Linked DNA regions of Alligator mississippiensis. The protein of the gene in region 4 binds, or shares a complex with, the protein of the main gene of each other region. Links are inferred from orthologs where the notes say so. Each region holds a gene or a part of one and is shown on either strand. Other genes may lie near its edges.

Region 1 (7,510 bases), about 7.1 Mb from region 4:
ATAGGGGAAAAATTGTTGGGTTGCAGCTGAACCTGAATCATTATTTCAAACAGGTCTCAGCTTTGCAAAATGCCATCAAGTACACCCACCCACTTCTAACAGGTAAAACATCAGAGATTTTTCTTCCCATTGCAGTAAAACATGGGCAGAAAGACTGTGCTTGAGTCAGCAAGTTTTAAATGACAATTTTGCAAAGCTGAAATAACCAGTGGGATTTTGTTCTGTTTTTAGTACAGAGCACCACTGAATAACAAGTATTCCAGTTAGAATTCTTCAGCTTAATTATTTCATTCCAAAGTGTGCCTTTAGGAAAATGGCATACTAAAAGTTTTTACTGATTATATATACCAAGAAGCTTACCATTTTCCCCTCCTTCAGCATAATATCCACTTAAAGAAAATCAAGTAAAGGGAACTTCATGCCTTTCACAAACCCCAAGCCAAGCAAACCATAGAAGGGAACACAAGGCTGTATTGTTTAGCATCCTATGATTCTTTCTGCATGTCTTGATAGCAACAGAAGTCTGGAGTCACCCTTACATAATGAAGCCGATGCAATTCTGATATTGTAAAATAAAGATTCCTTCTGGAATAAAACAATTTGGAAAAGTACATCCAATACATTTTACTTCCTCTGGCACTGTTAACTGCCAGGAATACCCTGAACAGCAGTTCTGAACAACACTTGCCTAAATTAAAGGGATACATTTCTCCCAACTCTACCTCATTAACTTCAGGCCACAAAAACCCCTCCCAAAAGCATTACCCAAGTGTCCCAAAATACAGACTGTGCCATCCCCTTTAAAACACCCTCAAAAATGAACTACTGAATAGGACAAGCAAGCATACGCACGCACACATTTTTAAAATCATACAACATTCTTTATACTGCTGCAGCACAGTGAGGCCTCCTTATGCTAGGTACCATACACGTCAAATCAAAACTTCATAAGCTAAAACAAACAAAACCCATAAAGAAAGCACAGAAGGGAAGCTGGGGAAGAAAGGGACACCCAGCTCCTAATTCAGGCCTGAGGGGCTGTGAGTTGCTAGGCTGGCAACTCTAGATGGGCAAAGTGCCTGCCATTACCATGATCATTTCTCACATCACCTCCACACCTTTCCCCAAAACTTCCCCATTTAATTAGTCTTATATAAACTTATTTTTGTAGACACGCTAGCAAAGTGTTCGGTCATGCTTTATCCTTGAATGTAGAGATGTAGTCCCACAAGTCACAGTGCTAAAGCAAAGATTCTCAACCAGGATGCCAGGGCACTGCAAGGTCCCACTAGGTCCTTTCAATGGTACCATGAAGTGTGGGGAGATATGCAGGTAAGCTAAGCAGATAAGCCAAGTTCAGGCTTGTCCCTGCCTGGATGATGCCCTGCACTTATTGCCCAGGCCCTGTATAAGGAGGCAAGAACTGAAATATGAATAATTAGTTTTTGAAGTTGGATGCCATTCAATTCACAAGAGTTCTGGAGGGGTACCTGGAATCCAATAAGGCTGAGAACCACTGTGGCTAAGGCATCACAAAGCAGAAACAATTATTTTCAGCTATCGTTTTCTCTAGCTTCCCTTACTTTTCCTTTCTACCGAAAGCAAAAGGCCCATAAGTTCCTAATTCATTTCTCAGTCCATTTCACCAATTTGCACTTTAAATCAGCAACTTCACTTAGCTGATGCTGACAAATCCTTTGCTTTCTGTTCCAAAATCACTACATGACTGCTGATCACTGTTAAGCAATTCCTACATTCTCCCCCAGCTACAGCTGCATTCGGAGGAAAGATGACAGTTGCCAGGTACATAATTAAATCTCATCCCTTAACAAGAAAAGACACTCCACGTATTCCCACACTAAAGTAATGACAGTCCTTCCTCCTGGTTGATGCTGGTCAGCATGGTAATCACAGATTCCCTCCTGCAAGACAGGTACGCTGGGGCTGGGGAGGACGTCACCAGAACACATCAGAACCACTGCACAAGATGTGCCAGTTGATGCCTCTTGCTTCCCGCAGAAGGCTGTGAGAAGCTCAATCTGCCTGAAAAGAGGAGTTCTTCTCACATCCATCTTAACCCTCCAGCTCTCTACTCGCTGCCACACTTGGTACTTTAACCTTAGCATAAGAACCGCACCAGTAGCCAACAGGACTCTCTGCTACAGCCACGAAGTCCCAGTGACACCTGGACAGGCACTGGCTCTAGCCAGCTGACACGGTCCTCACAAGGCAGTGGTGCTGCCTAGCGCAGGGGGCACCTGGGGACAACCTGATGTACCCGGTGGTGCCCGCAATACCAACACCAGGGCAACAAGGCAAACAGACACTGCACTGGAAGGACTCATGGCTTTCCTCCTCCACGGCCCCGGTGCCAACCCAACGGTGGGGGGGAGCTGGCACAGCCTCCCACTGAGGCCAAACCCGGGGCTGCAACAGACGCCCACGTGCGCCTGCCCCAGCCCGGCCCGGGTGCCCCGAGGCGGGGGAGGAGACGGGCCGCAGGGCTCCAGCAGGCGAGGGCTTGGCCCTATCTCAGCGACGCCCCCGGGGCCTGGCCCGACCTGATCATGTCGGTATGAAGGGGGAAGGAGGGAGGGAGGCCCACTCCCGACCGGGAGCGCGGGGCCTCGTGGCACCAGCCCAAGCCAAGCTGCCCGCGCCCCGGCGCGGACCCCTGCCCCGCGCACCTGTGTGCCAGCCACAACGGGCAGGCCGCGCACGTAGCCGTTGCGCAGCGCCCCGTGCGCCGCGACGCTGCAGCCGTTAGCGCGCGCCTCGCCGCCAGCCCGCTCCATCCTCGCGCCGCCGCCGCCGCTGCAGCTGCCGCCCCGCACCGGAAGCCCTACCCGAGCGCGCCGCCAATCGCGAGCGGCAACGTCACCACGGGCGTGACCGCTGCCCCCGAAACCCTGAAAGTGTCGGCGGCGCCCAGAGCGAGGCGGTGGCGCCTCAGGCCCGCCGCCCAATGAGATTACGGTGTCCCAGGCCGAGGGAGGGCGAGTCATCGATGAGGCACGCCCAATCCCGAGGCAGAAAGCCGGCGGGAGGGGCCCAATCATCTGGTTGGGAACCGACTGGGTGGAGATGATGGCCTACCCAGTCGCAAGGCGAAGGCGTAGGGGTGGGCGGGATGCGAAAGACGCTTTGGCCAGTGACAACAGAAAGGACGAGGAAGGATCCGGAGCCCAAAATAAATGCTAGCCAATGACAAGGCCGAGAGGCAGCGGTGGGCGGGTTCGGCAGCCGGGCGTGAGCCGGGTGCGCTCTGAACCGCTGTGGGCGCGGGACTGCTCGAGGCTTGTAGCGCCCCCTGTCGGGCGGGCCGACAGAGAAGCGGGGCGGGAGTGGGGAAGGGGGGCGCGGGGGCCGGCTCATCCTGGCCACCGCCTGCTCCTGGGGCCTGGCAAACCCGCATGAGCCATGGGGCCCCATGACTGAAGGGGAGTTCCGCGGGCCGGGGCAAGGTGGATTCTCCATGGCTCACCACGCTGAAGTTGGTTCCTTGTTTCCGGTTTTGGTTCGTTTTGCAAAGTTAAATCTTTACACAATGAAAAGTTGTTAGTAATTAATTGCACCTGCTACAGTTAGGATTTCATCAAAAATGTGTATTTACTAATAACTTTATACAATTGTAGCCCAGGCGGTACTCCATAAGGTACCCCTCTCCAATTGAAAGGATCAAAGCAGGTGCACAAGTGCTGTGGGAGGTGTAGGGACTCTCCTTTCCCTATAGAGCAGAGCCAGACCACCACTGGGGACTTAACCATATACCTTTTAATGAGAGAACAATACTGGGAACATAACAGGCATAATCAGCGGGTAGAGTGGACACTACAATGCCCCAAGGGGGCAGTATTCAACAAAGGTTAGACACTTACAATCATTGATAAAAAGTCAGGTTTAACAAAATATAAAACAAACAGAGCAAACAATACTGGTTGGGGAAATATAAAAAGGCACAAAATACAAAATGTCAAAGGACCAAGAAATATAGGGCCTAGGTACCTGGAAAGGGAGAAAATGGAAAACACAATGGCCCCTTTCCATTGCAAGAGGAATTTTTCCTTGGTAGGTCATTCACCCCAAGTCACCAAAACTGAGAGTTGAACTTGGATCTCCTATGTGGTAGGCACAAACACTTGCCACACAGCTACCAGTACTAGGACTATTTCAAGCTGCTAGGGGCCTTGACCTTCCTGGAGCCCTGGCCTCACATTGAGCAGCCTGATCTCTGATTGGAGGAGCTGGAAGCTGAGCTGAGAACCCCTCAGGTCGCTGCTCAGATTCTTGCTGAAGCGGGAAGCCTCTCCTGCTGGCCACAGCCTCTTGTAGGGGATCCTGGAGCCCAACAGGAAGCTTCTCCTGCCAGTCACACGCCATGCTGCTAAGGGTCCAACTACTGCCTGCTTCTACCCCTCTGGCTCAGCTTTTTGAAGCTCCTTCCTCATGGTCCCTCACTCGTCTCTTGCCTGAGTCAGCTGTGCTGCCCCTTTTATCCCCCTCCAGGTGACCCAAGGGGCCAATCAGGGGACATGAGGGGTGAGTCTCTGGGGCCTGATTGGTGAGGAAAGGGAATCCCAAATCTTCCAATCATCTTTTACCCCTTCAAAACCCCTGGGCCAAATCATTACCAGATTGGTGAGGAAAGGGAATCCCAAATCCTCCAATCATCTTTTGCCTTTTCAAAACCCCTGGGCTAGGTCACTGCCAGCCAGCTCGACACACAATAATATCATGTTTCAAATCCATAGCCCTGGAAAAAAAACCTGGGATTAGGCTGGGATTATGAGGCAAAATCCTTTTCAATTCACCCCAAACCACACACCTCTGCAATCAGGGGCTCTCCTAAAGGAGCCTGGGCCCCGTCCTGCCCAACCCAAAGCTTGGTTTCTGTGTGGCAGGCTGGCAACTCACAAAGATTCATAGACATTAGGGCTGGAAGGGACCTCGCAAGATCATCAGGTCCAGCCCCCTGCCCAAGGGCCAGAAAGTCAGCTGGGGTCAAAGGATCCCAGCAAAATAGACATCCAAGTGCTTCTTGAAAGTGTCCAGAGTAGGTGCTTGCACCACCTCTGGGGGAAGTCTGTTCCAGGCCCAGGGGGCTTGGACAGTAAACAAGTTTTCCTTATGTCCAGTCTAAAACGGTCTTCCAGCAGTTTGTGACCATTAGACCTTGTCTTCCCGTGAGGTGCCCTGGTGAACAGACGTTCTCCCAGTTCCTGATGCACACCCCTTATATACTTATAGGCTGCCACCAAGTCATCCCTGAGCCTGCGCTTCTTCAGGCAGAAAAGTCCCACGTCCCTCAGGCTCTCCTCATAAGGCCTGCTCTCTTGTCCTCTAACCATGTGTGTGGCTCTCCTCTGGACCCTTTTCAAGCTTCTCATGGCCTCTCAGGCCTGAATTAAGAGCTGGGTTTGGGTTGGGAAAACCAGTGGAAATACTTTTCCAGTTACCCCAGGTGACATGTATCTGCCATCCCCACTGGCTGTGCTCCTTCCCTCGCTGCCGTTGGTGGGGTGAGCCATCTCCTCTCTCACATTCCTCAGGCAGGAAGTCAAACACAGAGAAGCTGCAATGAAAGCAGGGAATGTCTGTGTTCAGCATCTGTGTTGAGAAGGACCAGGATAGCTGCTCAGAAAATGTGCGGGCAAGAGGTGTGGTGGGGGAGGGAACACAGCAGAGTTCTGAGCCCCCTTCCAGATGAAGAGAATGTGAGAGATGGGACAGCAGCTGAAAGGAGGCATCTTTTATAGAAACCAAAGGGTTAATGAAGAAATTAATGTCAAATTGAAGAGAAGAGTGGGTCAGTCACTGAAATGTCTATGTAAGAGAGAAATAGTGCACCGTGTATGGGAGAAAATAGCCCTGGGGTTTGGCTAGGGACTCACAATAGTAAAGCTCTGCAGGCCAACCACACTGCTAGATAGGGTGGAACCAGACATTGCTTTCGTGCCCTTGTAAGACAGCCCGGGGCTCCTTGTTCCTTTAAGATAAAAGCAGTCCAGTCAGGCAGCTGTGGCAGCAAGTGCAGGTTGCTGCGCCAACAGACCAGGGAGGCAATTACTAGGCACCTGCAGGCAGCCTGCTGACCAGAAGTAGGCTGGGCCCTGGGAGCATATAAGCCTGGGGCTTGGGCTGGCAACATAGTCTAACCTTGGCTGCAGGGTTAGGAGCTGCCCAGGGGTGAGAGGCTGCCTGTGGGAACACAGAGGCTCAGGGAGTGCACAGGGAGCACAGGCCGGGAGGTATGCCAATGCAAGGGGTGAAGGAAGGTTTGCCCTCTTAAAGGGGCAGAGGGCTGCTTTCACTACTTTTGTTTGTTATAGCTAGAGGTCTACTGAATTCATGGCAGAAGTGGGGTGCACTGTGGCTCCTTTAATCTTGCAGGTTCCCCCATACCTTTCCCCCCTACTGATTGGTGGAGGGGCCCCACTTGTGGCTCACTTCTGATCAGCAGGGACCCTGATTTTCCGCAATAAAAAAATCACAAATTCTCTGATAAAAATCACAAAATCCATGGTTAAAATGAAATGCCCCCCACAGCCCTGTTGGTGTCCCTCACTGCCCTCGGCCCACAGCCCTCCAGTCCTGCTTGTGCCCCTTGTCCCCCACCTGCAGCCCCTGCCCCCCAGCTCTGCCCCCAAAGGAAGGCAGCAGCTGCTACAGCAGGAGCACAAGCCAGTTCCCCCCCTGCTGCCTTCCTGCTGCAGGCCTGGGCGGGGTAAACTCCCCCTGGCAGTGTGCACTCCTGGGGGGCTGGGGGGACCTGTGCACTCCTGGGGAGCTGGGGGGCTGGGGGGACCTCTGGGCGGGGGAAGGGTCGGTGCAGGCTTCAGGCTCATGCTTCCCACTCTGCTGCCCTCCCCCAGGCCCTCCAGAGCTCAGTGTGTGCAACCCGGTGCAACAGCACACGGGGGGGGGATGTGCATGAAAGCTGCCTGCTGCTGCAAGCTCCATTTTGCCCTGGTCATACTTCCTCTGCAGACGGGGGCAGCAGTGAGGGACACAATCCTGTGCTGTCCCCATGCACACAGAGAAAGTGTGGCCAGGGCAGTGTGGAGCTTGCAGTGGCAAGCAGCTTTCGTGCATGGCCCTGCTGTGCCCTGCTGCGCTAGTCGCACATGCTGTGCTCTGGAGGGCCTGCAGGAGGGCAGCAGAGTGGGGAGTGCAGCATTTGCAACCCAGGGTTTGCAGCTGGCCATGCACTCCAGATGAGGGATGAGGGAGAGGGGGAGGGGGCTTGCAGTCTTCCTGCTCCTGGCTGGAGTGCCTGGCCAGCTGCAAACTGCCTCCTCTGGCCAGAGAGTGCCCAAGCTGGCTGGGGGCTGAGGAGCAGGGGAGGCTGCAAACCCCACCCCTCCTCCTGGCCAGAGTGCCTGGCCGGCTGCAAACCTCCTCATTCCCTCAGCCAGCTTGGGTACTCTCCAGCCAGGCACTCTGGCTGGGGGGGGGGGGGGTTGCAGCTGGCCAGGAGTGGAAGAGGTTTGCAGCCAGCCAAGCACTCCAG
Region 2 (7,374 bases), on a different chromosome or scaffold from region 4:
AGGCAGAAAGGAGAGAGCTGCCGGTTGGAGTCACCTTTGCATGCTTTTCGGTTGCAGCTGTAACTTTTGCCACTTCCTTGTGGCACAGGCAAGACGTGGCCCTGGGTCACAAAAAAGCAGCGAGAACCCATTTACCTTTTGCATTTATTGTTGTTCAGGGACTCAAGTAGGGTGGAACAGAACCACACTAGGGTGTCTAAGCCCCCACCATAGATACAGTTCTGCAGATAGAGAAGGGCTTTGTTGGAGGCAGTGTAGCTAAATCAGCTGAAAGCTCCTTTTTGTCAGCATATGCTACATCTTCATGGTGGAGTTCTGTTGATTAGCTACAGTAACAGAAGCTCTGTACTACAGAAAAGTAGTAGGTAACTTGAGCACTCCCACACCCACTATTCATTCATGAATAGTCAAGCAGAGAAGTGTGGGTGTTTTGTTTCTGGTTTTGGTTCAGTTTCTGCTCTACCCTCCTCTCTGTCCGTTAATTTCCCCTCCATTTAAAGTGTTTTTCCATTTAAGGAAGATATTTGCTAGGGACAATACACTGAAATCTGTGAGGTGCTCAATTAATACACTGATGTGGTAATGTAAATATTATAGATAGATGGGCAGATAAAGCCGGAGTGGAAGCCACTCCATGTGTGGAGGACAAATATCTGGAAAAAGAGATAGAACAAAAATAACAAATCATGTACTGGGTTGGGGTAGGTGAGAGTGAAGAGGCAGACCAGACAGGAAAGGGCAGATTCCTAGCAGAAACAAGAATGAGCTCTCACCTGTTTTTGTTCCTTTCCCTTCCAATCTGTGCTTCAAGCAAGAAGTGAAGGAAGGAGATTGGGATTGTGAATAGAGCACCAGACTGAGAATCAGGAGACCTGCACACTTACAAGTTCAGTGATGACCTCGGAATAAAAAATTCAACCATTCATTTCCAGTTTACACTGAGGATGATGCTTTCCTATCTCTGAGTGTTACAAGATCTAAGCGTTCTGTAATATAATGTGTCTGTACCACAAAAGAAAAATAAAGTCTCCTTTTATTCCACAACGATTTGTGGATGGATCAGTTAACTATCCCTTCAAGGCCATTCCCACCCCCTCCAGCACAAGCCTATATTTTTTTTTTTTGTGTACTGTCAAATACACATTTCTCTATTTTTCTAGCTACAATCCTAATAGTAGCAACAGCAGCAGCAATAATAATAAATACATTGTTATTACTATATAATCTTTTTCTCTCCTCTGAAATTACTACTGTCACAAGTTTTCATTCTTTTCCCAGTAGGTTAACTATTTCAGGTTGATAAAATAGAAACTGGAATATTGGTGATTGGTCCTAAAAGTATACATTTCAGGATAAACAGCATGACTTTTAATATCCAAAGTGATGACTGTGATTTCAGATATGGTTCCTGGGAGCATGATATGACTTTTCCTTCATTGCACAAGCTTTCTTGCCATCATCTTTCCACACATGGGCTGGGCCAGCAACTAGGAGCCACCCATGCTAGAGTCCTGAAGCCAGACAATCACTAACTAACCTTTGCATTGGGTGTGCCTTAATTAACAGGCTGAAAGCATGAGATTCCCATTAGGAGAAAAAGACTCAAGATGAGAGCTTATTTGTGATGCATCTGAGTCTGGCAATTGGAACAGGCATAGGCACTGTCTAAAGTTTTAGGACTAGACAATTTAAGTTAATAAACTGTCAGATAAGCATTCAAACACAAGCTAGTGTTGCTAGATGTTGTGGTTGAGGCGTGAAGCATCCAGCTTTAAAGGCAATCTTTTCCTGTTCCCAACTGAAGTGTTGGTTACATCAATTCATATGCATTCTCAAAGCCAGCACAGCTTGAATTTGAAGAGCCAAAAGATTTTTCCAATAGTAATGGGCTCTTCCATAGAGACAGCTTTTAATGTTCTATGCATAAAGATAATTTTCTGCTTGGAGTTCTCTTTTGCAAAAGAGCCGCTCTAGTTTTGGGGTTCTCTTTTGGGAAACTACAAACATCAAATGAGCTATAGTCAGGCATTTGGGTCAATGAGAGATGGCTTTCAAAGATGCAGGAAAAAAAAGAAACAGCTTGAGAGAATTTCCTGTAGACTAACTTATTTTTTAAAGAGCAGCTAACACTGTAACAACATGTAAATAAAAAGGACAGATTATTAAGCCTATAGAGCATGCCCCAGTAAACTAGACACTATGCCAACCTTATAACAAACAATAGAATCATCAGGTAAAAAAAGCATCTCCTTCCTATTTCTTGTTTTTTCTTACATTGCACTTAAACAGTAACACATCATAATAAAATAAAACTCCACATACACTTCAAGGATAAAACCCTTTTGCTTTAAGTTATTGATACATTTCTACAGTTCTGCCAACAGAAAGGCTTTAAACAATTTTCAGGTAAATGAGATATTTCTGTTTCTGATCTGAAGAACAGAATCTAGTTAGATCAATACTATTGCCTACACACCCAAATATCTTTTTTACTTCAACCAGAACTTTAGGGGTTAATAAGAATACAGGCTCATGCTGCACGTGTCAAGCTTAACATAAAGACAATACTGTAATATCCATTCAGTGACAATCCATTCCTTTAAATAAGTTTAAAACTGTTCATCTCAATGATTGGCAGACTTCAGGAAATTAAACCTTACCTTAATTTGTTTAGCAATTCCATTTTTCTTATAGATTCCACTTTTTAAGAGGTTATTCTGTTTCTGATGGTAATGTCCATTGCAGACAGCTTTGGGATTAGCCATTTGCTTAGTATGATCTTCAGTTCGTAAGTGCCTGAGGTCTTTCTACTTTAAAAAGGCAGTGGGATGAGAAGATAAAATCTCATGTGTTAAAGCCAGAAAGGTATCTAACTGGTTAGTCTGGCTTTTCCAGGAGAGGAGGGACTATCTTTCTGCAAGATCTTAGAAACTAAAAGAAACTGTTACCTTTATACACCTTCAGCCCTAGTGAGTTAGGAAGTCAAATACATGGTACTACTTTGCTTTTAAGAACTCCAAAATGCACTACTCCTGCTGGCTACTGTATACACATGGTATTTATGTGAGTCAACAAGACTGCTGCAGCTATCAAGGAAGTGGGTGGATTGAGAGGTGGAGACACTTAAAGATACACTGCCATCTAAATCCCTGTCTCTTGTAGATTACACTCAAAGAAGTGATAGATTATTCTCTGCTTGGAGTGGATTAGTAAAAGGTTGAAAATTAAAACAGTAAGGAAAGCTGTGCAATTCTAATGCTTCCTTAAATATGTGTGTTGGAAAAAGTAGTATTTGACTGTCGGGATAGGAGGCATGATTTTTTTAAAATTCCTAAATCAATATATTGATAGACACAGCATTAAGAATGTACAGAAAAGGGGCAGTAAGACTGTCTACAGGTAGATGATGAATTTTAAGAGTAATCTAGTCCTGGTTTCAGAAGTTAATTAGTATTAGAGTCTGGGGCTAGCAAAGAGTTTTTTGGCCCCAGTCCTGCACACACCTAAACACATGCTTAATTTGAATACTGTGAAAAATTCTTCTGAAATCAAAATGACACAGCAGTTAACAAATTCACAAGTGTATGGAGAGTGGGACTTCTGCTAACCTTTAGCATGACGATTAAGCCTTCAAAAGAAAACTATTATTATATTTTCATCATCAAGATACCTTGAATCAAGTCTTTCATTTTTAGTGAGACAAACTTTTATTACAGTTGGTCTATGGCTTTTCTTTTAGGAGAGAGGGCTTAATTGCTTGAGCTTTGCCAATAATAGGATATAACAAACTGCTATGCATTTGAATTTACTGAAGTAAAAAAAAAGTCTTGTAAAAGTTAGGTCCAATTAGAGCAGGAATGTTAAAGATCCAGTCTGCAGAGCTGTTTCATCCAGTTTGCAAGGCTCCTGAAAGGGCTGGGATTTCAGGACTGGAGACTGTTGCCAAGGTGCCGAATTCCTGAATATAGAGCCCTGTTGGAGATGTGTTGGCAGCAGCGAGGGAAAGAGAGAGGGAAGTGATGGCCTGTTAACCTCCATGCTGCTACTGCTTGTCTGCTGTTGCCACCATTTCTGAATCCAGATTGGGGGAACAGCCCAGTTTGACACTCCTGATTAAGGCTATAAGCTTATTTTAAATTTAACCCCAAATCACTTACATGTAGGCCTAAATGGCATTAGTTTCATGTGTACTCACAGGGCTGGGGCTCATTGACCTGAATGGGAATAACTGTAGGCTTAAAATTAAGCGTGTTTTTGCAGGATAAGGGCCTTATAGTTTAGATGTTCAGAATATACAATCGACATTTGGTTGTATGAGATGGGATGAGAATATACACACACAAGTGAGTGTATATTCCAATAAAAACACTCTATACAAGGGGTTAGATTAAAAGAAAATCTGAGTTACAAAGATAATTAAAGACTGAAGGCTAATCAGTAGAGGTCTTTGAAGTGTTTAAGCAGAAAAAGTTAAAAATAGAATAAGAACTTGCTATCCGATCTCAGCAGCATGATGTAAGTTACAATTCGGAAAACACAGTTCCGCCTGAGAATGCAAAGCAAACACAGGCAATAAAGATCAAATTAACCAGACTGTAAATCTGCTGTAGACCAGTTTTCACCAGGCTGACTTCTCTTGATTATTTGCTAAAATGCTAAACCATATTTCCTCTTTCTAGGTAGCTTACAAAGGAAAATAATCATGAAACAAGGGTTTTGAAATCTTTTATTTCATCATAATACATAAGGAAAGCCTCAATGGTACTGGTTTTATTTTGTCCTTTTAACTATCAGGAATATCAAACCATATTTTCTGATTCCTTGGAAGGATCCAATTTTGTATTGGGACTTTTTGTAACTAAGTGGAATGATGAGGATCAGTGTGGAATCATTAACAAAGAAACCTTTTCTCCCTAAAGTCACTTGTTTAGATTGACAATTGCTACTTGTAAGCCCCTAATTCTAGCCTTCAAACTCACTTCCTTGTTTCAATTAGGTAGATTTCACTTCTGTGATACATCAGAATCCTACTAGCTAGCTATCCAACTGATCATATAGTTCACAGTAGGTCACTAATCAGTACAAAAATAGCACTCCTTCAGGGTCTGTGTTATATCACAAAGTAGCAAATATCTAAGCCACCCTCCCTCCTGCAGAAGTATGATTTTTTCTTTACAAGCAACCTTTTACCTACTTCCCCAGCACTAGTAGGACAGTAAAAACCTTTCTTACAGAAAAAACCCATAGCCGAATGATGTAATACTTATAATAAGTGTTATTAGAACTTATTAGGAAATGTAATCACACAGTGAGTCAGAAATACAGTTCAGTTCCTGGTTTTTGCCTCACAATACTGAACAACACTGCCTCATTTCAATCTTTTGTATTGTCTTCATCAGGCCAGTCAAACAGGTATCTTTAGTGTTTGTTAATAGGGTAATTGTTAGTGTGCGAGGATGGGATGATTGAGTTTAGTTACAGTAAGTGGCTGAGAGTTGGATATTTGGAAGGAAGAGTGATTAAGGATAAAAGTTTAGTAATAGCCTATAGTTTCCTTGCAAATGCATCACTGGTAGTATCCTACATAAATGAGTGCTATGACAAGTTGACAAGAATTAAATACACCTGTTCTTCCTGTGCCAAGCAAACCCTCGCACAAGTCATTCTGTGCATCCATTCCTACCAGCAAACTAGTGTCCTGACAAAGTTGCTTCATAAGAGGTACCAGCAAACATAGACCTCTGTTGTATGACTGACCTAAGAAAATATGCTGTCCTTGGGCACTGTTTAGAGCCAAAAACAAACTCTTCTGCTGTTTCTGAGCTTGCATTTGGGCCAGAATATTCTATATTTTCACTATTGTATCTGAGACACCTTCCATTAGGTGACATGATAGATGTCATGTGTCCCCAAGACCCACCTCAAGAAGGTGGACGCTGAGATCCGGTGGCTGCTGAAGAAGTGGCTGCACCTGCCGCTGAGGGCCAGCAACGAGATCATGCACATCCCCTACTGGCAGGGAGGTGCCAATGCCCCCCACCATGGGAGACCTCTGCGACATTGCAGTGGTCACCCACGCCTTCTGCCTCCTGACCTGCCGGACCCTACGTTAAGTATCACCACCAGCACCCTCAAGGAGACCGCCTATAAGAGGATCGTGAGACACTCGACTGGACATGACTTGGCCACCTTCCTCAGTGGCTTGCTAGAGGGTGAGTTCGGCAGAGATGGTGGGGACTTTGCCTTGCTGTGGAGCCGAGCCTGCAACACCAGGTGCTGCCTCAGAAAGTGCATCGGCTGCACCTGGACCTGGACCGAGGAGTGCTGGGAGCTGTGAGTCTCCCTTGAACCAGCCCCGCATGCCGACCATGTTACCATGATGCCCCACATGAGGACCTTCCTGGAGCAGTTCCTGAAGGATGCCATCCGAAACAAGTATGCCGGTGACCTGAGGGCCAAACCTGACCAGGGCAAGGTCTTCGACATCACCTCGAAGTGGGACTCCAGCAACCACTTCATACCCAGCAGGAGCTTCACACACTTCGTGGACTGGTGTTTCTTCCATTGTGCCCGCCTCAACTGCCTGCCTCTGAACGGGGCTGTCCGCTTTGGCCACCAGGACAAGAGGTGCCAATGGTGTGGCTATGCGGCAGACACCCTCCCCCATATGCTGTGCGGCTGCAGGCTAGCCTGGCGGCTCTGCCACAACGCTGTCCAGGACTGCCTGATGACGCCTATCCCAGCCGCAGTGGGAGAGATCTCCGTGAACCGCACCATCCCAGGCTGCGAGAGCCAGATACGCCCTGACATTGTGATCACCAAGGAAGAGGCCAAGAAGGTTGTGATCATGGATGTGACCATCCCCTTCGAGAACCAGTGCCAAATCTTCACCAATGCCCAGGCTCGCAAGTGGGAGAAGTACGCCTCTCTGGCCAACATCCTGAGGGGCCGCAGCTATGATGTGACAGTCGACGCACTCAGCGTGGGAACGCTTGAAGCCTGGGACCCCAGCAACGAGAGCGTCCTGCATGCCTGCCGCATCTCCTGCCACTATGCCAAGCTGATGCGCTGCCTCATGGTGTCTGACACAATCTGCTGGTCCCGCGACATCTACGTGGAGCACATCACGGGCCACTGTTAGTACTCTGACTCCACCAGACCGACTGCCGCCGGACTGGACCCAGAGGGGACCACCTGAAGCCCCCTCTGCACCTGATGGACTTCACTTTGAGAGGACTCTTCAGCAATGGATCACCCCGCTCCACCTGAAGAAGACCCCTGCGATGAGACTCTATATGGACTGAGACACTTGCTTCGACCTACTTCTTCCACCATTGCGGACCATTATATGGATTTGTGTGTATCTATTTTTCT
Region 3 (7,041 bases), on a different chromosome or scaffold from region 4:
AACAAATCGAAGATCAAAAATAATATTTTACAACATACCTTAGGTGTGAGGTCAGATCGTTCTTGAAGCTTATAAGTTTTCGAGAAAAGTAGTCTTATTATCCATAGGATGAGAATTCCTTCCAGAATGAGGTGGTAAGCCGGAGCCTACACATAAAAAAATAATGTTTATATAATATTAACTTGGAATAGGTTATGCTAGTAATAGCTGCATTCTCTTTGTAAGCTGCCGTAAGCCTCTGTTAGAAAGGGCAGCACATAAAAGAACAATAGCAACACTGACTTAACTATTTTGTATTAGCAAGTTATGTTGTGAACAATTATGTTTAAACAAAATTTATACCTACTCCATGTAACCATTTCCAAAGTCTTTTACAGTTTTCTATGAAAAAGAAATGAAGGAAATGGAAAGTAACACACACACAGAAGCAAAGGAAGTAATCATCCACAGCTATTATACCCCTACAAAGATTGCAGTAAGGGCTTCTGTATTGCATGTTACATCACAATGATGCAAATTAACATTTGAAGAACATTACTTATTTCAACCATGAAGCTAAGCTGTATATTACAATACAGCATATTAGAGCTGTGCAAAGCCATTATTTGATTTGGCAGAGATTCGGCCCAGTCTGGTGGCCTAATCTCCAAATCGAATCAAAGGACCATTTACTCTCTCCAAATCTAATCAAAACTCTCCAAATTGATTTGGAGAGATTTGAAGATTTGGACATAGACACAGCTTTAAATGTTTTTTCTACGTACCTCAAGGTACCAGGCGGCTCTTGAATGCCGTGATGCTGGGGTGCATGGATTGTTCCACAGAAGCACAGGGGGGTCCCCAGCGCACTCGGCAGGAGACCCGGAAGTGGACCAGGTCCACTGAGGAGCATGCAGAGGGCTACCCCCACGCCCGCCCTGGCTCAGCGACTGGTGCCTCCTGGGCCGGGGGACACCCAGGGTCTCCCTATGACCAATCACCAAGCCAAGGAAGCACGGGGTCCCCCCCTACGCACTCCCCAGAGGACCCGGAAGTGGACTGGAAATACTTCCGGTCCACTTCTGGGTTCACTGCTGAGCACGTGGAGGGCCCCCACCCCCGCATTCCTGCAGGACTTTCCAGGTGCCCCAGCATCACAGCATTCACCAGCCATGCTGGTACCTCGAGGTATGCAGAAAAAACATTTAAAGCTGTGTCTATATCCAAATCGCTGATTCTCTGAATCAGCATTGAATCTTCAGATTCAGATTTGGCCGAATTGAATTGGGGACAGTGATCTGAATCAACGAATTGAAACACGGTCCCTGATTTGGGCCGAATCTGAACTGAATAGGGCCTGCTTTGCACACACTTACAGCATATATATATCTGAGCTAGTTCAGCTACTGTTCTCAGGATAGTTACTGCAGCACAGAACTGTGCAAGTGAACTTGCCTTACTTCTTAACAGCTGAGAGACTACAGATTCAAACTGGCAAGGAAATATGAACAGAAAAAATTAAAAGGGAAGCTCCCCCTCCTATCAGCTAAGTGACATGACACTTCCTAGGAATCCAAGTGTATTTTGTACACACGTTTTGCCACCAGTTATTCTGCAACTGCAATCTTCCTCTAACCTGAAGTCATCAGAATAAGACTTAAAATCACAGAGGTAAATACATTTTTTTTTTCATGGATTGTGCAGGGAGGAGGTTCCAAAGTCAAAAAAATTTAAAGCATCTCAGTGCTTCACTTAAAGAGAACTTGCTTTGAAAATTGCCAGCTGCAAGTAAAAACATGTCCATGTCGACCTTCTGATACAAACTGTATATTCCTGCTTCTTATTAAATGGTCTTAAAGAGCCTTTCAGAAATAACCAAGACAGAAATGAGGGAGCAGCGTTCAACACTAATTAAAATAAGAGGCGCCATTGTTGCTGCTTCTCTAGGGAGAAGTTCTCACTTCATAGCCAGTAGGGAAGGTAAGAGTCCATCCTCAGAAAGCAAGTTAGCTGCATCCCTACTCCACAAGGGATCAGAGCCCAGAGGTAACAACCTCCTCAGCCTGTTTCTGAACCCTGGGCCTGTGCCTCCCACTGAAAAAAACAACCTTGTTTCTCCAATGGACATAAAATTGCAGGAAAGGAATTCCCCACCAACAATAACCCTGCACCCAGATCCACTCCCCCCAGACACCAGCACCCAGCCCCATCTCTGCAGACAACAGCATTCAGATGCATCCCCCCCAGTTAGCACCCAAATCCACCCCTGCCCAGGGGCCAGCATCCAGATCCACCCCCCACCCCTGGTACCAACACCCAGATCTATGCCCACCACATGCCAGCACCCAGCTCCCCCCCCTCCCGGTGCCAGCACCCAGACGCATGCCCCCCCAGACACAGGCACCCAGATCCATTCTCCCCAGATGCCGGGACCCAGATCCATCCCCTGGTGTGCCAGCACCCAGAGGCACCCCCGCCCACTTTGGGATGCTGGCACCCAGCTCCATTTCCCCCATGGGCCAGCACCCAACTGCATCCCGCAAAAGATGCTAGCACCCAGCTGCTCCCCCCCCGGTGACAGCATGCAGCACGCCCCCCTCCCCCGATGGTGGCACTAGGAGGGTCTGGTCCCCCCCAGGTGCCCGCACCCAGATCCATTTTTCCCCAGGTGCCAGCACCTATATACATTCCCCCCTCGGTGCCAGCACTCAGATCCAGCTGCCCCAGACGCTAGCACCCACTTCTACTGCCCCCCAGACCCCAGCACCCCGATGCCCTCCCCACGAGATGCCCGCACGCGGACCCACCGGGCAACCCCAAGCAACGCCGCTCCCGCTCCCGCCCCCGCCCCCGCCCCAGACGAGTGCGTGAGGGGAGGGGGGCCGACGCCACGTGCCCCGGGCGGAGGGGTCGCTCACCTCGTAGAACGCCTGCACCATCTCCACCAGCACCCACTGCTGCCCCATCGCCGCCGCCATCCCGCTTCCGGGGCCACTTCCTTCCCTCGTCAGTGCGCCGGCGCCGAGCCAGCGCGCATGCGCACAGCGCGGCAGGCGGAGGAAGGGGAGGGTGGGACCGGAACCCGGGGCCACGCCCCCTCCCCGCCCAAGTGGGAGGTGCCATTGTCCGGAGGCGACGGAAGGCTCAGGCCGGGGTAAGCGGGTGTTGATCTGGGATGCTTCCAACGGTCCCCGTGGCGGGGCAGCGCAGCCTAGTCGGCCGGTTCCGTGTGCTGCTCCTTCCCTGCCGCCGCCCTCAAGCTCCTGCTAAACCTCACCTACATAGCGTAGCTAGCTGCTCAGTCGCGCAATAACTGTGTTTATTTTACCCCTGCAAAGCCCTCGTCACCCCTTCAGCGGCTCTTTTGGTTGGGCTAGGGTGGGTTTTTTTATTTATCCTTTGCCCATTGCTTTGCACCTGTGGCCGGTCTAAATGTACTGCCTGGTTCCCCAGTCACGTGATAAATGTAATGTGTGGTCGGTATTACGCAAGTCACAGGTTCATCACGGGATAAGTTTAAAGCAGCCACGGGTGCAAAAGTAATTGTCACAGGATAAAATGGCTAGCCCAGCCCCCCAAATGCACTGGTTAATCGTGATCGATTCAAAAGCAGGTACGTTGTGGAAGAGGCAGATGGCTGCAAGGACCTGGAGTTGGGAGGAGATGGCAAAGAGCATCTCCTGCCAGCTGTGAAGGGATTCACCTGGCAGGTTATTAACTTTCAACAGGGTCAGCTGCTCATAACCAGCAGAGGTGACATGTAGGGCATGTACCGTTTGATGGCCGCACTCCCTGCTTAGGCGACAGGCAGGCAAGAGCGCCGGTGCCCCCCCCATCCCCGCAAGTGTCCGCTGGGGAGTAGGAGCACTGGATGAAGCGCCGCAGTCACTTCTGGGAGCACCGCGGCTGCCTCCCAAGTGGTGCAGTTGGCTGCGGGGGGACTCCCCTCCCCCCCATAGGTGAGATCGGACATGGCCCGGTCCCCACCCCCCTCTGGTCACTGACTGGTCACTGGGGGGGAGGCAGATGCCCCCCCTGACTCAGGTGGCACCAGTTGCCAATGATAACCAGCAAAATGCACCTTGCCATAAGAACTGTTTAGAAAAAAAGGGGGGGGAAAAAACAACTAGGGTTGGATTCTGGGTGCAGACAAGTAATAATTTTTGCCTGATCTGATGCCAGAAAACAGTTTATAGCTGTGGCCAAACACAAGTGCGCAGCTGCAGACGGCTTCCAGTGAAAATCTGACCCCTCATTGCATGAGGAAAACAGTGACAGGCTGGGAGGCAGGGCAGACAAGTTACAAAAGATGATGCATTTTGAAACATCTTTATCTGATACCTCATTCAATGGGGAGGGTCAGATTTTCACCTGAAGCTGTCTGCAGCCATGCACTCGTGTTTGGCAGAGAGCCCTGGCGGTTACTGTGGGAACTTGGCTGCAGGCCCCCACTGGAACCAATAGTGAACTTCTGTTTGGTCTGGGGTAGGGGTAGCGCTATAACTCAAAATGCTTTGCAAAACTCGTTCCGAGTTACAGCTCACAGCTGCGCTTCTGTCTGCAGCCTCTAATATTAACTGAACCAGTTTAAATTTGCACTTTGCTAAGCAACTGGCATACAGGAAGGAGACGTGGCATAAGACTCTGTAGTAGTCTGTCCAACTTCTCTTCAAACTTGCCAAGATAAAGCACAAATCTGCAGTGACCGAGAGGAGGAGTGAACTTAATCTGTAGACCCTATGATTGAGTTCAATTGAAAGTTTGGCATTCAGCCAAGCAGATGCTGGCATTGAGCACAAAGATGTCCTAACTCTACTCAAAGATGTCCTAACTCTGTTGGGAGGTTACTTTTGGCATACAGCCAACATTTCCATAATAATAGTAGAAGGACACTTGTTTGCAAAGAATGAATGAGTCTTAAGAAATAAATATAATCTCAAATTTCACAACTCTACTGATAGCAGGAAGAGTGACTTACTGTTCAGATCATTTAAATGGGCTGAAGACTAAATCTAATATAATCTGAAACTCTGCTACTACACATTACTTTTGTTAAGCAAGGATTATCCCTAACCTTGAATAAAGTAGCTTTGGGCAAACGCTGGTGGCCAAAAGCTGCCCTAACCAGGCAACTGAGGGTCTGACTAACCACTCAGCTTCCTCAGGAACAGGGAGTAGATTGCAAGGAGGAGGCATACTGGTCAGCATATGCTGCCTAGTAGCAGTGGCTCACCTGCATAATTGCTTCTTTGGTAGTGATAGACTGGCATAAACTACAGCAACCCTGACATTATTGTAACTTCATGATTTTGTGGAGAGGAGGGCTCAACTGAGTGCTTGGGATGTTGAGTCCTATTGTATGTAGCCAACTTGGTTCCCTGTTCAGGGTATGCACTGAGAGTTAGATCTGCAAAGGGATATGTGTGTCACCACTTATTTTTTAAATATTGGTCCCTGGAACAGTCAACACCACTGGGTTAGTATTGCAGCTTACTATATGGTGCATGTGGGGAGGAAGGTGTTTCAATAGAATTTGCAACAGTCAGCATGCCAAGGGGGTAGCAAGCCAGTAGGAAATGCTTGAGAAAGAGAGAGGTGTCTTAAATCCCAAGCCTCTCTGGTGTTTGGGCAACTATGTCAGGTTGGGATTTGCAACCTGGAACAATCTCTTGGAGTTGGACACCTAAATTGTCCACTTTAGAAGTGAATGACTGCTCACCCACTAGACAGCAATTATACTCGCCCAGAAATTGTGAGGTCTGGATCCTAGGCTCTTAGTCTGAGGGTATTCAAATCTACACAGTTCACCTCCCAGGAGAGAGTCCTAAGAACCAGGCTATAGGTTAATCAGGTTGGGAACACTCTAAGCTTTAGCTGAAGCTGTGTTACTGTGTGGCAAAGATTTCTAGATGTGTGGGGCCAGGAAGGAGTCACGGAGGATCTCTGTAGCCTCATGTTTAGGAGTGGCTGAGATGGGGTCTGGCCCCTGCTCCCTGAAATATTTCCATATTTTATCCAGTGACTGACTATAAAATGCATGAACCATTGTGGCAGCGGAAACCAGGATCTAGGACTCGTGCCTTAAATAGGTAAATGTTCTAACAACAACCTTTTCAAAATGCAAAATTAGGACATCGAGCCTCCCCGCTCCATCCACACTGCCCTTCTGTACCGGGTCTCACCCACTGGGGGAGGGCAGCAGGATGGGGAGCCCCAAGCCCGCAGCAGGATGGGGAGCCCCAAGCCCACAGCAGGCAGCCTGCATCTGCCTGTGCCACACACACACATCAGATGTGGGGCACAAGCTCTCCTATGCCCCCTGCCCTGGGAGTGTATGAAGCGGTGGAGAGTCAGCCCCCACACTGCCCTCCAGATGAGTCACCTATGGCTCTGTCCTGCTCCCTGGCCAGGACCTGCAGCTACACATTCCTGCCCTGGTCCTATGCCCCATGCACCACCCCAGCTGGGTAGAGCTCCCAGTCCCAGCCACCAACCCTGCCCCTCCCTCCCTAACCTTGGGGGCCTCAAGCTGCCCCCATTGCCACATCACCTATGCCCCGTCCCTCCATAGACTTACCTGAAGGCAGCTGGGGGAACTGCTCTCCACTGCTACCTGGATGAATTGCTGGACATGAGCATGTGTACATACACACACATGCATGTCGCATCCCCTGTGTCCCACTCCCCCCCAGCCCCAAGCAGCCCCCTGCAGGCTGAAACTCTGCCAACCTGCAAGGGGAAACCTTCAGAGGAGAAAATCCACTTTTTTCCATGGCAAACAGAAAACCCAGATCCATGCTTACGATACTGGGATGATAGTTGCTATGTTGAGATTGTGTTGAGGGGAGTCTGGAACAAATGCTGTCTTGGGAGTCATTCAGCCTGGGACCAGGACTTGATGTTTACATTTCGGGACTGTCCCGCCTAATTAAGGATGGGTGGTCACCCTACAGGTAACAGAGACACAATCCCCTCTCTATGCCAATGAATCTTTCACATTTTGCTGCACTGCTTCAACAAGAGGGGTGGATAGTCCTCCCACTCAAACTAGCCTCTAGTCTG
Region 4 (7,103 bases):
GAGACAAATACTAAGCTTTTTGAAGTATACATTACAGGAAAACAAAGTGATGGAGAAAGACTTAAGAGTACAAGGGAACATAAAACAACAGCTCTGCTGTATCAACAGACTCTCTCCGAGCAGACCAGATGCAGCCTTCATAAAAATTACTGATCTCTTAGACAATCAATGATATATTCAGCTTTGGAAAAGGTTTTTGTAGCAAGTCTAGGAACTTAATTTAAATACCTGAAGAGATTTCAACACCTGAAGAGCTTTTAAATTTCTAGAACACTGGTTTAGACACAGCTGAGGTCAATCTCAACATGCATCTGGCAGTCATTCAACAGCTTATATGAAGTAAGTTAACAATGTCAGGCAGTACCTGTCCTAAGGGGTCTAAATCACAATCAGCCACCTTACTGAAGTAATTAGAGAGACCAAGGCCTGAAAAAGGATGGCGGCCAATATAGTATTCTCCCCCAAACCACCTCATGTCCACTGGAAAAATACCACAAACTAAATTTTTTCCAAGTTTCATGTGAAGATTTGCTGTACCATGGGCATTCTTCCTTTTTAAAATGAGGTTAGACTCTAAGCATTAGAAATTGCATTTCTCCAGATGTTAAACAAGCTGCAGCTTGCTCACTCTAAGAAAGTTTACAGTCATTGCTAAAGCAACAAAAGGTGATGGGCAACTGCAACCTAGAATAAGCAGCAATGACATAACTGCAGTAAGAACAATGGAAGGTGTTTGTCAAATTAATTTTAAACTATAAATATCTTAATAAGTTACTTAAGTTTACTACATATTTGTCCAAAGAATAAGGAAAATGTACATATTTTTCATTCGCTCAAACATTTTGCTTGCATCACAAAGAGAAGAAGAGAGTCAAGCCCAGCTACTGACAAAGTATGATGTGCATATACTTACTAAAGAAAGATGTTTCATCACTAACACTTGTAATGATATAGTACTCTTTTGCACACTTCCTATGCAGTCTACTTTGTTGCTTCATTTTCATAGTGAACTAATCAGTTTTCCCTGTCCTTGAAAGTATCTTGTGAGCAATTTTCTTCTACAGAAATAGAAGGACGCTCCCACTTAACAAACAAGTGAAACAGACATCATGTGGATGTATGTGAACCTAACAGAAAATCTATCTAATGGTCTGAAGTCTATCTATATGCGGTCCATTTTTTTAGATTTAATGTGGTTATATAGCTGCAACCTGTTTTTTGTTTTTTGGTTTGTTTGGGGGGGTTTGTTTTTTTCATTTGTTTGGTTTTGTTTTTTTTAACTAGAGGAAGCATTTTTGTAGACTGTCATCCCAATAAAGACATCCAATTAGTCAACAGAGGAAAGATTATGGGTGACAAGATGACATTTTCTCCTCCCCTCCCTGCTTTTTTTAATAATACTTAGCGCAAATGCTTTTAAAGGTCATTAAAGAGCAACTTGTAATAATAAAGTGTTATTCTAACAAAGGATCACCTAACTGCCTCTGTATAAAAATTCTGGACTAAGCCCTGAAGAAGATAGCACAGCACTCTCTAGGAAGAAATGAAAACACGGGTCTCTACGTAATCATCATGCCAGCAGAGTAACTGCAGTGAATTACACAAGACCAGTGAGTTTACCAAAGACAGCATAAAGAGTGATGTTGTAGCCACACTAGTCCAAAAATCATGAGAGAGGTACCGATTTCTTTGGGCTGGTTTGGCTAGGGTTGATCCTGCCTCAGGCCCTAGATGACCTCTGGGGGTCCCCTGCAGCCCAACTTCTCTATGACTTATCTTTTATTGGGCTATGTGGTTGGGATAAAGTCAGGCAAGCTTTCCAGTGCAAGGTATTCTTCCTCAGGTCTCTGAATACAGGAAGCCAAGCACAGCAAGCTGAGACCAGCACAAGAGAGGGGCTGAGATCAGCTAAGACATGCTCAAGGGTAGCAGCCACACAGTGAGCAAAAGAAAGCCAGAGTACTGGAAGATCAACAGCTTTTCCTTTGCTCCTTGTGGGGCTGCTACCCCCAAACACTTCTCTCAGCCCCTCCCTTATGCTGTAGGGAGCTTGCTGTGCTTGCCTTCCCATATTCCAAGACCTGACAAACAATGTCTTCCATAAGAAAGCTTGCCTGACTTTATCCCAGCCACATAGCTGGCCCAATAAAAGATAAGTCATAGAGAAGTTGGGCTGCAAGGGACCTCTAGAGGTCATCTAGGTCCTGAGGCAGGATCAACCCTAGCCAAAGCAGCCCATACAACCACGATGTAAACTCTATGCGAGACTACCCTCAACCCCGACACAACACAAACCAACCCAACACCCCGACCTGCTGCAGTAAGGCAAGGGAGCCACCAGCCAACATCCCACTTGTTTCTTCCTGACCCCAAACATGGGGGATGGTCCGGGCCCCAGCAGAGGGGCAAGACCCTCCAGCCAGGAGCCTCCAGCTTTGCTCCCAGCAGCACAACCGGGTCAAGTCCCCCATCCTCCCCTCCCGTCTGTAGGCAGCACCCAGGCCGCCGGGCCGCTGTCAGGCAGAGGATGACAAAAGAAAACAAAATCCCAGCCGGAAACCCGGGCTCGCGAGGACAGCCGCCAGCCCCCCCACCCCGCCGCCTCCGAGGGAGAGACAGAGGCCGGCGGGCAGTGTTGCGGGGCCAGGCGGGCAGAGCCCAGGGCCCGGGGCCTCGCGAGGCGCCTCTCTCCCGCCCAGGCCGAGGCAGCGGCGGGGCTGGGGCCGCCCTCGCCTGCCACTCGGAGCTCGCGCACCTCCCCACCTCCAGCCCGGCCCGGCCCGGCCCGGCCCCGGCGCCTGCCGAGGCAGCGCCCCCCCCAAAGTCAGCGCGCCGCGCCGCCAGAGGATACTGAAGACGGTGCGCTCCCAGGGCTCCAGCATGTAGAGCGCCGTGACGAGCAGGTACTGGTAGTAGAGCCACGACACGCGCTGCCAGGCCGAGCCCAGCGCCATCGCGGGCGCCTCCACCGACTGCCCGACCTCCTGCGCGTGCGGCTGCCACTGCGCCGCCCCCACCCTCCCGGCCCGGCCAGCGCCCCGCCCCCACTGCCCCTCCCAGGGGGCGGGGTCACTGCAGTCACGCGGCCCCGCGGCATTGCACGTGGCCCCAGAGCAGAGGTGGTCACCCAGGGTGCCTGGAGAGGGGCACTTCCCGGGTTGGCCCCAGGATTCACGGGACATACCGCACTTAACCGGCAGGGGAAACACTGCGTATCTGGGTGCAGGAAGGCAGTTTTCCTTAAGCGGCCCCGGGATAACTGTTCTTCAGTACCGCCGGGGTGTTGGGGTTAAAGCCCACTTTATGGAAATGGGAGGATCCTGGATTTGGACTTGATTTGGCTGGGAACATGAAAAATTTCTTTAAAAAAAGAAAATTCACATAGTAACCCATGGCGTTCAAAGCCTTCTGGCCTGTCTGAGGTGTTTGCAACAGAAGACTTGTTCTAACACTTTCCTGTAGTCAAAAACACATGAAAACTAAGGTGGCAATTTCCGTGAAGTGCCTCAAGCCTGAAAAGGTTGAGAATCACTGCCCTAAAATATCCCTAAGCATCAGTAAAGGGCTCTCCTGTCCATGCCAAGTAGGGGGTTCCCCTATAAGTATTGGGCAGGTTCTGGTAGATACAATATACAACACCTTGCCAGTTTCTAAGTGGGACCCTTGCATCTGTACCATAAAGATGTACAAGTTGTAGCAATATTAAAATTGGCCCCCACCTTCCTCATGGGTTCCTAAACACTGACAGGTCTCAGGTGACGCATAGGGGAGACCGGGGTGGGGGGGCGGCACCGAGGCACGTGCCTTCCCTCCCACCCCCTTACAGGCTGGCACTGCCGGCGCCTGCGGGAGCTCGCCAGCTCTGCCTCTGCCGCCAACAGTGGCACCTGCGGGTACCCCCCGCAGGTACCAGTCACCCATGGGTCTCCTCATAGTTTTATTAATGCCCTGAAACCATAGGTACCACTCTGCAACAGGATGGAGAGAGACTATATAACACATTAGACTTCACTTCTTTTGAAAGGTCTTAAAGAACCAGAGACTACTACAATTGCAGAATCCCCAAGACTTGCTGTTGGCTCACCCAGATTAGGTTCCTCTGCATGTTTCTGCAGCTTCCACTGATTTTTTTTAATCCGACTAAAGGTGGAAGCAGCATGAACATGGTGCTAACTTTGAATATAATATCTGCCCTGGGTCAGATCTGTGTAGTCTTGTGTTACTTCATTTTATATCATCCAAATTAGCAATTTAATCAGACATTACAAAGTATACTGGAAACCTTTGAGGCCAGAAGGCAGCTCCTTGGCCCAGGTACTTAAATCCCCTGGCCTAGGCTTTCCATATACTCCTGTATCTGCAGTTATTCTACATGCCACCCCCACACTTCCTGACTGAACAATAATCTTTTCTCACAATTGATTTGCTTAAAAAATATGGCAGCTCCTTCAGTGCTAGCTATCCAAGCAAATAAAGACAGGTAAGAGTCAAGTATTCATGCATCTCAGAAAAACAAGAGTACAGATCTAGGACCTAACCATGAAGGGAAAATAGGTTTGGCAGATAGATTTCCAATACAAAGGAACAACTGAATACTACATTAGCATATATGGTAGTACCTGAAAAGGAGGTAGATTCTACCAGAATACTAGCACGTATGGTTAAGACTCGGTTCACCCATGCAAATTTATTTCAGTGCTTGAGGAAACAGTAGAGGGTCAAAAATACCAGGCAAAGGTTCCCAAAAGAAACTTGTCCAGTGGATGCTAAAGAGGATGCTCAGCCTGCAGTGAATATGATTAAAGAATGCCTATCAGCTAATGAACAAGAAGATAAAATTGAGAGTCCAAGGCCCACCAGGCCAAGTCCAGTGAAGCAGCACCAGAGCCTATTCATACTACAGTAATGCATGTGATAAACACACTGCCTTTCATAGGACCAGCAAGTAAAGCATCCATCCACTGAAAAGAATGATTGTATAATTACTCTCAAGCAATGGAAACAACTCTCCCAACTTTTTCATTCAGTCATTAAGACTGCTAAGCAATGTCCAGAGAACATCAACACTTTTAAGAGAAGGGAATATAAACATTTTCTCTCCCCGAACTGTCTTAGTGTAACTGCTGCTTGAGATGACTCTTATGCTATTGCTGCTTGAAAGGCTGGCAAACTATGTGGCTGCTGTTAGTGAATTTGAAAGCACACTTTTGTAGTAAAAAAAAAATGAGAGAAGCAAGATTTGTTTGGTAATATCTTTTATTAGACCACATACATAGGTGAGAAAAGATGTTAGACCAATTTTCAGGCACAAAATGCCCTTCCTCGGGTACATAAGAAACAGATACAGCCTAAGCTAAATACCAGGCAGAGCAATTACTTTTGTTTAACCCTATTATGTAAATGAAGCTATCACTTGAAAAAAGAAAAAGGGAGCAAAGGGAACTGGCATTATGAAGCAAACAGAACTGGCATTTACTCTGTGAAGCAAACAGAAGTTATCAAAAGTAGTTACAGACCAAATAAAAAGAGTTGAAATAGATTAACCTGAATATGTAAAAAAAAAAAAAAAAAAAAATAAGACTGTTGTTATTACCTGTGAAGTACAGAGGAGTTAGCAGAGACCCAGTAAATTAAAATGAGCTATGAAACCATTGTGTTAAGGTCATGCTTTGTAGTGTCCAGTAGTTATGAATTTCTGTTACTAAGCCTCTCTCTACTTCATCTGAGCGAAACCCAGCAATCTCACTCCTTTCATGAAGCATGGTTGCAGTTAGGGACTGGATGAAGTGAGCCAGCTGAAGCTGAATGCAAACAAGACAGAAGTGATGGTATTGGGCAGACCATGCAATTTTGGGGGGATTGGGACATCTATCATTGATGGGATATAGTCTCCTGTTGTCACTCATGTTTGCAGCCCTAGGGTACTCTGGATCCTCTCCTGCATTTGGAACTTCAGGTGACAGCAGTGCCTAGAAGCACCTTTTACCAACTCCATCTGGTGAGAAAGCGGTGGCTCTTTCTTTCAGATTCAGATCTGGCTACCATCATCTATGCCTTTGTAACCTTGAGGTTAGACTACTGCAACACACTCTACATAAGACTACCCTTTAAGACTATCTGGAAGTTGCAGTTCATGCAGTGATAGCCCACCTAACAGGGATGGGCTTCCATGAGCATGTAACTCCAGTGATCCAGTCTGCACTGGCTCCCAATAGATTTCCAGGTATAATTCAAGGTGCTGGTTTTGCCCTGTAAGGCCCTAAACATATCCAAGGGACTGCCCATGCACCTAACTGCAATCTCCAAGGTCAGCTGAGAACAAACTCCTACAAGTACCATCAATGCACCAAGTCTGCTTGGCAAAAACATTTGGCATGTTATTCTCAGCAGGTGCTCCTCAGCTCTGGAACTCCCCCCATCTTTTGGTATGCCAGAGCCTGAGCCTGAACATCTTTCAGAAGGTGCTGTAAGACCTTTCTATTTGGGCAAGTGTTTAACAGACAGAGGTAGGCTAGGATATTGGTTAGAGCAGTTCTGATTTATCTTAATGGTCCAGTTTGTCTTTTAAGTTATGTTGTTCTCTTGCTTATTCTCCTGCTTTATAATTAATTTTGTCCTCTTATTGTAAACAGGTTGAGTCTTTGTTGGGAAGAGTGGCATATAAATCAAATCAAATCAGATAATAAATGAACCAGGTAAATGACTGTGAGAATATACTGGGCAACATAAGGCCTGATATGTAAGCATATGAAAGTGCCAGTGGACTAGAGAACATACCACAAAACCATACACTGTTCATGCAATTATTTGTCAGGTTTGCAACAGGGAAGCCAATATAGCCTGCAACATCTGTGTATAGTTCTGGTACAGCTCCTAGTTAAAATATAATTAAAAACCACAAAAGTAAGTGAACTATCCAATAGAAGCTGATTCAGTGCACAATAATCAACACTATTGCCAAGTAATACTCCCTTCTGCTACAGCTGCAAATGATTTTTCTCATGTATATAGCATAGCATAGATAAGGCAGTGTTTCCCCATCAGTCAGTCAACCCAAAGGGACCAGAAAAGGTTATCAGGAAAGGAATATAGCTAAGTAAATC

The links.
Region 1: the proteins of SPTSSA (region 4) and SPTLC2 are in contact, whole or in part, in a cryo-EM structure (PDB 7K0K), measured with the Homo sapiens proteins. The link is inferred for Alligator mississippiensis from reciprocal best matches to the Homo sapiens genes SPTSSA and SPTLC2. Residues at the interface, in NP_612145.2 of Homo sapiens: Trp15, Tyr18, Gln19, Leu21, Leu22, Val23, Thr24, Ala25, Tyr27, Met28, Leu29, Glu30, Pro31, Trp32, Glu33, Val36, Phe37; in NP_004854.1 of Homo sapiens: Leu73, Gly77, Val80, Leu81, Phe84, Leu87, Arg88, Leu91, Leu126, Arg129, Ile130, Tyr156, Met475, Pro476, Ala477, Lys478, Gly480, Ala481, Arg484, Glu485, Asp533, Leu534, Leu535, Gln536.
Region 2: SPTSSA (region 4) and SPTLC3 share a complex: the UniProt entries of both Homo sapiens proteins name them as parts of the serine palmitoyltransferase (SPT) complex. The link is inferred for Alligator mississippiensis from reciprocal best matches to the Homo sapiens genes SPTSSA and SPTLC3.
Region 3: SPTSSA (region 4) and SPTLC1 share a complex: the UniProt entries of both Homo sapiens proteins name them as parts of the serine palmitoyltransferase (SPT) complex. The link is inferred for Alligator mississippiensis from reciprocal best matches to the Homo sapiens genes SPTSSA and SPTLC1.

Annotation. Positions count from the first base shown.
Region 1 is NC_081825.1:263,321,067-263,328,576, forward strand, and holds the start of SPTLC2 (serine palmitoyltransferase 2), read right to left. Parts: upstream 3,021-7,510; 5' UTR 3,006-3,020; coding exon 2,847-3,005; intron 2,838-2,846; exon of another isoform or gene 2,796-2,837; coding exon of another isoform or gene 2,688-2,795; intron 1-2,687. UniProt on the Homo sapiens protein: Component of the serine palmitoyltransferase multisubunit enzyme (SPT) that catalyzes the initial and rate-limiting step in sphingolipid biosynthesis by condensing L-serine and activated acyl-CoA (most commonly palmitoyl-CoA) to form long-chain bases.
Region 2 is NC_081824.1:221,269,849-221,277,222, forward strand, and holds the start of SPTLC3 (serine palmitoyltransferase 3), read right to left. Parts: upstream 3,010-7,374; 5' UTR 2,766-3,009; coding exon 2,661-2,765; intron 1-2,660. UniProt on the Homo sapiens protein: Component of the serine palmitoyltransferase multisubunit enzyme (SPT) that catalyzes the initial and rate-limiting step in sphingolipid biosynthesis by condensing L-serine and activated acyl-CoA (most commonly palmitoyl-CoA) to form long-chain bases.
Region 3 is NC_081826.1:213,094,627-213,101,667, forward strand, and holds the start of SPTLC1 (serine palmitoyltransferase 1), read right to left. Parts: upstream 3,008-7,041; 5' UTR 2,958-3,007; coding exon 2,898-2,957; intron 147-2,897; coding exon 39-146; intron 1-38. UniProt on the Homo sapiens protein: Component of the serine palmitoyltransferase multisubunit enzyme (SPT) that catalyzes the initial and rate-limiting step in sphingolipid biosynthesis by condensing L-serine and activated acyl-CoA (most commonly palmitoyl-CoA) to form long-chain bases.
Region 4 is NC_081825.1:256,230,153-256,237,255, forward strand, and holds the start of SPTSSA (serine palmitoyltransferase small subunit A), read right to left. Parts: upstream 3,012-7,103; 5' UTR 2,955-3,011; coding exon 2,852-2,954; intron 1-2,851. UniProt on the Homo sapiens protein: Component of the serine palmitoyltransferase multisubunit enzyme (SPT) that catalyzes the initial and rate-limiting step in sphingolipid biosynthesis by condensing L-serine and activated acyl-CoA (most commonly palmitoyl-CoA) to form long-chain bases.